2 linked regions of the Drosophila melanogaster genome follow. The protein of the gene in region 1 purifies or fractionates together with the protein of each later gene. This does not show direct contact. Each region holds a gene or a part of one and is shown on either strand. Other genes may lie near its edges.

Region 1 (3,503 bases):
CACCCGCACACACCCACAATCACACTGAGGTAGATTTTTTATCTCCCTTTTCACACAGCTTCCTTTTCGCTTTTTATTTTCTGCACATGTTCTGGGTTTAAACCCCAGCACTATTTTCTATGGATTTCTCACTACCTTGCTGGTTAATTGTCTTGCGAAGCTGTCTTTAAAACGCGTATTTATGGTTTAAATGTTTGTAATCTGCAATTCGCATAGTACCCGGACGCACGTCTGCTTTCTTTCACGTTTCGATAGCGAATGAAATTGAGGGAGCGCGCTGATATGTATATATTTATATGGCAGTCTATACTATAAAGCCCCGTTTGCACTAAGAGTTATCACGAAATGAAGAGTCTCGATTTTAAATTTTCTTTACTTAGAAAACTGTTAATTGAAAAAAATCTATTTTTTCATATTTGCCCAAAAAAAATAAAATTCTAGACTTGAAAAGACCGAAGTGAAAACGTTTGCCTTAATATATCGACGATGGAGTGTGTAATCGGGGCTTAAATCAGTTTTACATGTGTGCGAGGGAGACCATAGGGTTGCCAGATAGTAGGGAGAGCGCCAAGTTAAAATCTCCCAACAACAAAATGAGCAGCTAAATGGTCAGCTGCAACAAAAGCAACCACAGCAGCGATGCGTTTATTTATACTTCTTACTCTCTGATTGTGTGATTGTTTAGTTCCTCGAGCGAAGCCACTTGATGTTGATGCTCGGCGTCCTACGGTTGAAATGCGTATGACGGCGAGGCGGACAAATATCTGGGAAATCACCCGCTGACCGAGAACGGAAATGAAATGCAGGATTCTTTCTTCGGTTTTTCACAGGTCAGCTTCGATTGAAACCTCGACCAATTCTGAATTTCATGGGATATTCTGAGCGACCGATTTGTCATACACTCTCCTTCTGGGATTTTTTAACACTCAATCACATTTTATCGCCAATTCATGAAATATTATATATACGATTATTTTGGTTTTTACAAGGTTGTATTGATTAAAAAATTATCTGAATCCAAGAAATTTAGAGGGGCTTTACAAGATTATCAGATTCTTACCATAAAACCTGTGTTTACGGTCACAAGTAGTTTCGAAAGTTTTTGCTCGCTTTTTTAATTTAAAATTTAAAATTCCGCCTCTCGTAGTTGTAAAGTTATTTATTATAACAAATAGGTTATTAAAAAATCGGACTTGTTTCCTAAAATTTTGATTAAATTGCTGGGAATTTGTAAATTACTCTTCAGTTTTAGGGGTTTGGTCATTTCCTTGTCGGGTTTTGCTTTTTGCTTTTGTATGACTTAATTAAATTATTCTTTAAAATTTAAATTCTTCGGCTTCCGATTGAATTTCTTGAATTATTATTTATCAGGCGTTCGTTTTTCTATTAAAAACAAGTGTTTGGTGCCAATCTGATAAATTTATTAAGGTATATAAACTTTTTAAATATTTTGTTAATTTCTAATTATTTGTTTGCTATAACATAAACTTTTATCGTTTTATTAAAACTGTTTTGCTATTCTCGTTATTATAAAATCCAAATATTCATTAAATGTTTTTCTAACAAAATTACGCAACAAAAATGTGACCTGCTAATAAAATTATAGTAGTGTTTTTTAATGTTTATTAATATTAACCAATTACTTTATCGCCCAATTTAAAAATTGCGGGTGATAACAGATGATTTTAAGAGCAGGTAAAACAACAAAAATTAAGTTGGCAGCACTTACCGGCCAATAAGTCAATTGCACAAAATCTTAAACGCAGGACCAGAAATATTTTGCAAAGGACGTCAAGGAATGCTGAGAAGGATGAACACTTTTAGTGGTCAAAAGCTGGCGGCTGTGGTCAAGGAGCTGGAGAACTTTGCTCCGACTTCTTGGGCAGAGAAGTGGGACAATGTGGGACTCCTGATCGAACCGCACCGCGAAAAACAAATCAAGAAAATACTATTAACTAACGATTTAACCGAGCCCGTAGTGAAAGAAGCGCTAGAGAAGGAGGCGGAGCTCATAATCAGCTATCATCCGCCAATTTTCAAGCCCCTGACCAGGATTACGCAGTCACATTGGAAGGAGCGCGTGGTGGCAGCATGCTTGGCCAACGATATAGCCTTGTACTCGCCCCACACGGCGTGGGATAAGAAGAGTGGTGGCGTCAACGACTGGCTATCTAAGGCAGTGAATATCATCAGCATCCGCCCTCTGGAACCGGAGTTGGGTGCTCCTCCGGGTACCGGATCCGGTAGATATATAGAAACCAAAATGGAGCTTTCCCAGGTGGTGGAGTCTCTGCAAAAGCGCATTAGAAACAGCGTGCACGTTGCTCTAGCTGTGGGCCACACCCCCAAGACACTCATCCAATCCGTCGGCATTTGTGCCGGCTCTGGAGCATCTCTGCTGAAGGGTATCCAAGCGGATCTTATCATTACCGGCGAAATGTCCCATCACGAAGTTCTGGAGTTTACTCACAACAATACCACCGTTCTTCTCTGCAATCATAGTAATTCAGAAAGGGGTTTTCTCCATGAGTTTTGCCCTATATTGGCCAAATCTTTAAATGAAGAATGCCTGGTATTTGTATCTGAAGTGGACAAGGATCCTCTGGTCACCGTGGCTAGCGATATAAACAAAGAACTAAGCGCATTTGTTGACGTCTACAAGAGCACATCAAAATAACTTTGATCTTATAAGCATTTTTTGTTTAACAATGCATTTTCTGGCGCATCCATAAAGGTTACAAATAAACTAAAGGATTTAACTTTCTTAACTTCTAGACTTGATCCAGCTTAAACTTGCCGCCCTTGCTGGCGGCGTCGTTTCGATTAAGTTGGTAGAGCAGGCGCTGCTCCAGATGTTTCACTGCAGCCACTGTCAGCACCAAAGTATCGTGCTTCAGCATAGAATAGACGTTCAAGCCAAAGGTTGGCATCAGGTTGACATAGCCCAGATCATCGCTAGCCTGGCAAATATTGGCGGGGAACATATGGTCTCTGAGAAAAACAGAATCAGTATCAATTTACATATTATATGTTCACCTACAAGCAGAACTCACTCGTCTACAATCAAAACAGAAGGTCCCCAATTCCGTTCGGCGATTAAATCCTTAAGGAACTCTGCATCTCCGGTGGGTATGTCCACATTATCGATGATGTGCAGATCATCCTGGGCCAGCTTAACACTCAGCGTGGAGGTCAATCCTAAAACCCTCTTATAGAAGGGCAGCATGTAAAAATGGGTCGTAGGCGACCTGGGTCCGTGCACTACGCCGCCGCCCTTCAGCATGGGCGAACGGAGGGAACCGTGGCGGGCACGACCACCTCCCTTTTGGGGCCACGGCTTCCGACCACCACCGCGCACCTCCGCTCGAGTTTTGGTGTGCGCCATGCTTACATAACGATACTTGCTCTGCCACTCCACATTCTCCTGTATGATGTCCACGCGCGGCTGGGCGGCAAAGACATCCGGATGCAGTTCAATCAGGCCAACCTTTCGCTCCGCCACA
Region 2 (5,246 bases), on another chromosome or scaffold:
CAACAAAGCTTGAAAGGGCTGCGAAGCCAATGTAGCTAATTAAATTTCGAATGAAACGACAGTGTCCCGCGGATGTGCGAAGGCGGAATGAAATGCACACAATATGGATTGCAAAGTCAACCACAAATCAAAATTCGATATTTAAACTTCATAACAGTAACATAATCTTAATTCGCAACACATATAAACGTTTATTGTAGTGGAAATGCCGATTTTCTTAATTTATTTATGTAACTCGCACAAACATCCCAAATATTTTAAAATTCTAGACGCAGTTTGGAGTAGTGTTTAAGTTGAGAATCCCACTTACATGATTCAGGGTAGTGGTGTGGGTTCCTGGAGTTGGGTGCCAATTAATTAAATATAAGGTGCAGGTCCCTCGCCGCGGTCTCCGGCGTAGGTTGCAGGTAACGGGGGGTTCCTCTGTCACTGGGAGGCAGGGCGGTTGCCGCAGACCTCTTCTCCTAGATTGGGAGATATGGTGGGAGAACGTCTCTCCGTTGTTGACTGCCCTTAAGGCTAGCCAACCAATTCAATGATAACAGCAGTAGCTGGAGTTGATTGAAGGCGCGATGCGCTCTTTATTGAATACAAAATCAAACTGACTATAAGCTAACAAAGGGAAAAACATCATAGCGGCCTCTGCCAATGCGCAGAGCTTCTGCCGGCTATGCATGAGCTTCCGGCCAAATGCTTGGTCAGCAATTTGACCGGTGCTGGTGTGCGGACAATCAGTCCGGTTAACTTAGTTAACTTACATAAGTGAAACAATTTACAACCGAAAGATTACAAAAAATATATAAACCTGACGTGTCATTAGCTAAGCATTTTCTATAAATACATGTGTATAAAAATATTTGGAGTACGCGTGTTGCAGATCTTCCCTTATTAGTTTTAAAGCACGCAGTCGGTTACAACAAGGTTTTCTAGGGATCTTCCGGCGGGCATAAGAACTTCCAACAATGCTCCGATACTGGAACAGGTCAATTAGATAAGGCCTGAAGTAGATACAACATTTGTCATTTGTGATTCACACGGAAGCCCACTTGACTACTTGGCCTCGGTTCCGGCCAGCAGATACTCCAAAGCGAAGAGCCGTATAATCAGTGCCAGGTTGTCCGTCGTCGCATAATCGATCACGCTGGCGTTATCGTCGGGCGTATGCCATACACTGGGAAAGGGCACCGGAATGAGGTGCAAGATCGGCACATTTCGCCGCAGGAAGGGTATGTGATCGTCCTCGATGAAAGAGGATCGCATGGCCTGCGACTGGAAGTAGCGGGTGGGGTCGCGCTGGGCAACTCCACTGCTGGCATAGCGCTCCAGGAGCTGCAACTTGGCAAGACGTGTCTCCACGGACTGGATACGCATGTACCAGGACTCGGTGTTTTCGAAGAAGCTGTAGAATGCCGGATCGGGGGCTCCCAACAGATCCAGGAGCACCAGCATATCTATTCTATCAAGTTTTCCTTCATGGTGCCACTTTTTGGCCAGGTGTCGTGCTCCATAGATGGAGTCCTTGGGTCCCCACTCCTCAAAAGCCTCCTCGCCATCGAAGAACAAGAGCATCAAACTCAGTTTGCTCTTCTTGAGGGGTTTCAACTGCTCCTGAAGCACCTGGGCCAGGTTGAGGAGCATGGCACAGGGCACTGCCGAGTCGGTGGCCCCCAGGAATTCCACTCCAGGCATGTATTTGCTATCATAATGGCAGGACAGCACCAGATATCTCTCAGCATTTGGATTCAGGGTGGCGATGATGTTGTGGAAATGCAATTTGCCTTTGATGGGAGCGTGATCATGAAAGCTGTTTACTTCCACATCCCAGTCTAGATCCCTCAAACTCTGGACGATGTATTCGCGAACGATGCTATGATTTGTTGTGCCCACAACTCGAGGTATAAGGATTTTGTCAATGGCTTCCCTTAGGTGTAGCTTATCGGATAGATTGCTGTACTCCAGGAATCGGGGCTCGGAGAGCTCGCTGGGATTGTAGGATATCTGTTTGAATTAAAAGAAAGCACATATTAAGCAGGCGGTTGGTTTAGCTGCATTACCCTCCATTGACCTGTGTTCTTCCTACGAGATTATCCTTCTGGGAAGTGGATCCCCTCACCAAGGTGGCTATCAAAGCTGTCTGCACGCACAGCGTCCACATTCTAGCTGTTCGATGTAGCATATTTAACCGACTGACTTAAGACTACGTGGCTGAGTGTTTTTGTTCGGCGGTGGGAGTGTTGTGTCCCAACAGGTGGTTGCAATCAATAGCGGCAGGTTCGTAAGAAGTTTAAAGATTGGTCATCCGGCTGCGCAACTATTTTGCGGCACACTCCGGCTTGTACTTAAGACCCTTTGGCGAGTCTATTAAATTATCATTTTGGCCAGTTTTTACGGCCGACTTGTAAGGCACAAAATAACAAAAATGGGCGTCGCAAAGGGGGTCAAAATGCTAACGAAAATAACACTGTCTATAGGTAACGCTCGTTGTGGGTGTCTATTTGTTTCCCATCAGTAATTTATTGCACTCCTCTCAAAAATCATTTAATTTCCTTGTTTACTAATTCAACCAAAATCGTTTTGTTTACGCGTATTATTTAAACAGCTGCTTGCCATTTGTATCAGGTGGCAGCACCAGTCCCGAACAGGTGGCACCCCCATAAAAACAGGTCACGGGCGTGTCTAGATTTAATGAGCAGGGGTCTTAAGCAATGGTTACACGAAATATTCAGTTCACTAGCCATTCTCTTCTTACAAAATAATAAAATGACTAATTTGTGCTTCAATCAAAAAGAAAACATATAATATAAAATTCAAAAACATAAAATTAATTTATCAATATAATAAAATCCCCGAAGTCAGTATACTTTATACAGAACTCCCCTTTCAAGCAGAGAGTACAAATAAATGTATGTTTTAGTTAACCTTAGGAATATCCACCAGTTCGAAGCAAGCGCCTAGATTGTAGATTTTTTTGCGCGGTCTCGGCAGCAATCTTTTGACGGCCTCCATTAGGGAATAATTTCTGAGTAGCAGACGCATTTCACTTATGCATGTATATTTTTAATACAAATTATGCACACAGAACACTACACAACACAACACGTTTTCCACGCTGTTATCGAAACTTATGCAATGAAAAGCGATTACACACGGTTTACAGGCGACTTTCTCCTCCCTCGCTGGCATGTAAACAATTGTATCTATATATGTAGCATGTATGTATGTACAAGAGTGCTCTACCGACTTAAAGTTAATGGAAATAGGGTAACAGTCCGGGGTAGATGAGGATTAGTCCGTTTTGGAGCCCTTGGAACCGGGTGCCCCAAAGTAGGCCCTGTATATATAGAGTCCCAGGGCGATGTGCAATGCAACGACCGCTCCCACGGCGGATGCTATGTTCACTTTGACTTCGGAAATGTCGAGGAACTGGTCCAGAACGAAGCCCTTCAGCACAAAGAAGGTCAGCACGGGCAGGAAAACGATAAGCATGCAGTAGAAGAGCACTGTCTTGAAGGAGCTGTAGTCCTGCGAGTCCTGGGCATCCAAAATAAACAAGGGATTAGCTAGCCGGCAATCGGAGCCGTCATGTTACATACGTGCGACTGCTGGCGGGTTTGTTTCGGCGCAACTCCGTTGCCTCCGGCGGCTTTCTTGTTCTTGGTCGACATCTTTTCAGTTAAATAGAATGCAGCTTAATTGAAAAATCAGCAATTTCTCTCAATTTCTAGTTTTGCTTTGGTCTGCCATTCGGTTATCAGAAATATTTGACAAATCACAAATCACATGATAAAGTGGTAGTACCGTGCCAGCATTCAAAATATACCAGAAAATACTGCGACTAGTCGATTAATCGTTGGTATCGTTGCTATCGAAATATTTTCAACTAAATTCTCATTTTTTAATTCATTTTAATTGAGTAAAAAGTTAAAATTATATCAAAATAAAAGAGAAGTATTGAAGCTATTTCTTTAGGTATACAAAATGAAGTGTCATATTTGTTCAAGTAACATATTGTACGCTGTTTCGCGATTTTCGATAATTATAAATATAAATATATATAAATTATAAGTTTCCATGACTTCCAATGAGATTCATAAGATCTGCACTATTTTTGCAACCACAGCTGTCTTTTCGCAACTTCTTCGGTATTTTTCTCCAGGGTCGCACGCCTTATTGCGACACCAGCAGTGTGGTCACACTGGAGCGAAAGGAAAACAAAAGAGCAATCGTGAATCGAAAGGCGCACGCGGCAAAATGTAAAACTTGCTTATTGGTTTATTTTTAACAGTTGCCGTCACCGCATTTACAGTCGCATTTCGGCCGAATGCTCGCGCGCCCCGCTTGCGTGTGTTAATTGAATTATTTCATCCATTTTAGCAACTGCTGCGTATTTTCGGCGCTTATTAAGCCGACAGAGCCATCAAAATCCATACTGCATACAAATACGATTTCAATTAGGGGAAAAATACGCGCCTGCAGTTCGCCGCACGATTTCGTACAGTACAGTACGGACGCAGAGGAGCGTTTTTTCCGAATTTACTGTACTTGCTTTTCGGTTTTTTTGGGGAAATTCCACTGCAGCTGGCGCGCGATGGTTTTGACGAACTTCGAGTGCTGGGCACATGGTGATCCGTCGTCGTCGGCGGCCGCCACTTTCGAAACTGGAGCGCTGCGTCCTTCGATGGATCCGTTCAATCCACGCGCCGTCACCTTCATGACCGACGCCAACAACAACAACAACAACAATGATGGCAATAACCTCGCGGCACAACCGATGCCGGTCGTCCTGCCTCCGGAAGTCCTGCGCTGCAAGAAGCGCCTGAATCCCGGTCACAATCCTGTCGGGGATTTGGACACGGACCAACCGGTGTACACCAAGAGATGTCGCTACGACGAGTCTGACTTGGCCGCCCAGTACTGCAATGGTGAGTATCGCTGCTCAAAAATGCAAGCTTAGTTATTTAATTATTAAATTGTTTAAGGCAGTTTTATATTAGGCTTACTTAGCAATTGCACATGCAATAATTCCAATAAATAAATTTGTTGTCGAGCAGCCTTTAAATATTAAATATCCTCATTAGTTTCAGAAAACACTCAGAAATATATTATTATGTTATACTCAATCCTTTAAGAGTAATGGTTGCATTTTTTAGTGTCTCAAACCATTTTGAACTTAAATTTAACACTTGCAATGAAATTCAAATTATACTTGAACCAAATATGATATTAATTTAACTTTAAATGAGTAT

The links.
Region 2: the proteins of CG4278 (region 1) and isoQC purify together in Drosophila melanogaster (affinity purification with mass spectrometry, with the first as the bait; one large-scale study listed by BioGRID). This does not show direct contact.

What each region holds. Positions count from the first base shown.
Region 1 is NT_033779.5:16,325,359-16,328,861, forward strand, and holds CG4278 (uncharacterized protein), read left to right. Parts: upstream 1-1,710; 5' UTR 1,711-1,798; coding exon 1,799-2,677; 3' UTR 2,678-2,771; downstream 2,772-3,503. Other genes in the region: mRpL4 (mitochondrial ribosomal protein L4), read right to left, coding at 2,772-2,991, 3,054-3,503.
Region 2 is NT_037436.4:20,472,317-20,477,562, reverse strand, and holds isoQC (iso glutaminyl cyclase), read right to left. Parts: upstream 3,098-5,246; 5' UTR 3,037-3,097; coding exon 2,920-3,036; exon of another isoform or gene 2,772-2,919; intron 2,602-2,771; exon of another isoform or gene 2,177-2,601; coding exon of another isoform or gene 2,066-2,176; intron 1,999-2,065; coding exon 1,051-1,998; 3' UTR 560-1,050; downstream 1-559. Other genes in the region: CG5969 (uncharacterized protein), read right to left, coding at 3,286-3,531, 3,594-3,665; CG32428 (uncharacterized protein), read left to right, coding at 4,589-4,922. UniProt on the Drosophila melanogaster protein: Acts as a glutaminyl-peptide cyclotransferase. Responsible for the biosynthesis of pyroglutamyl peptides. Might be more efficient in the conversion of tri and tetrapeptides in vitro.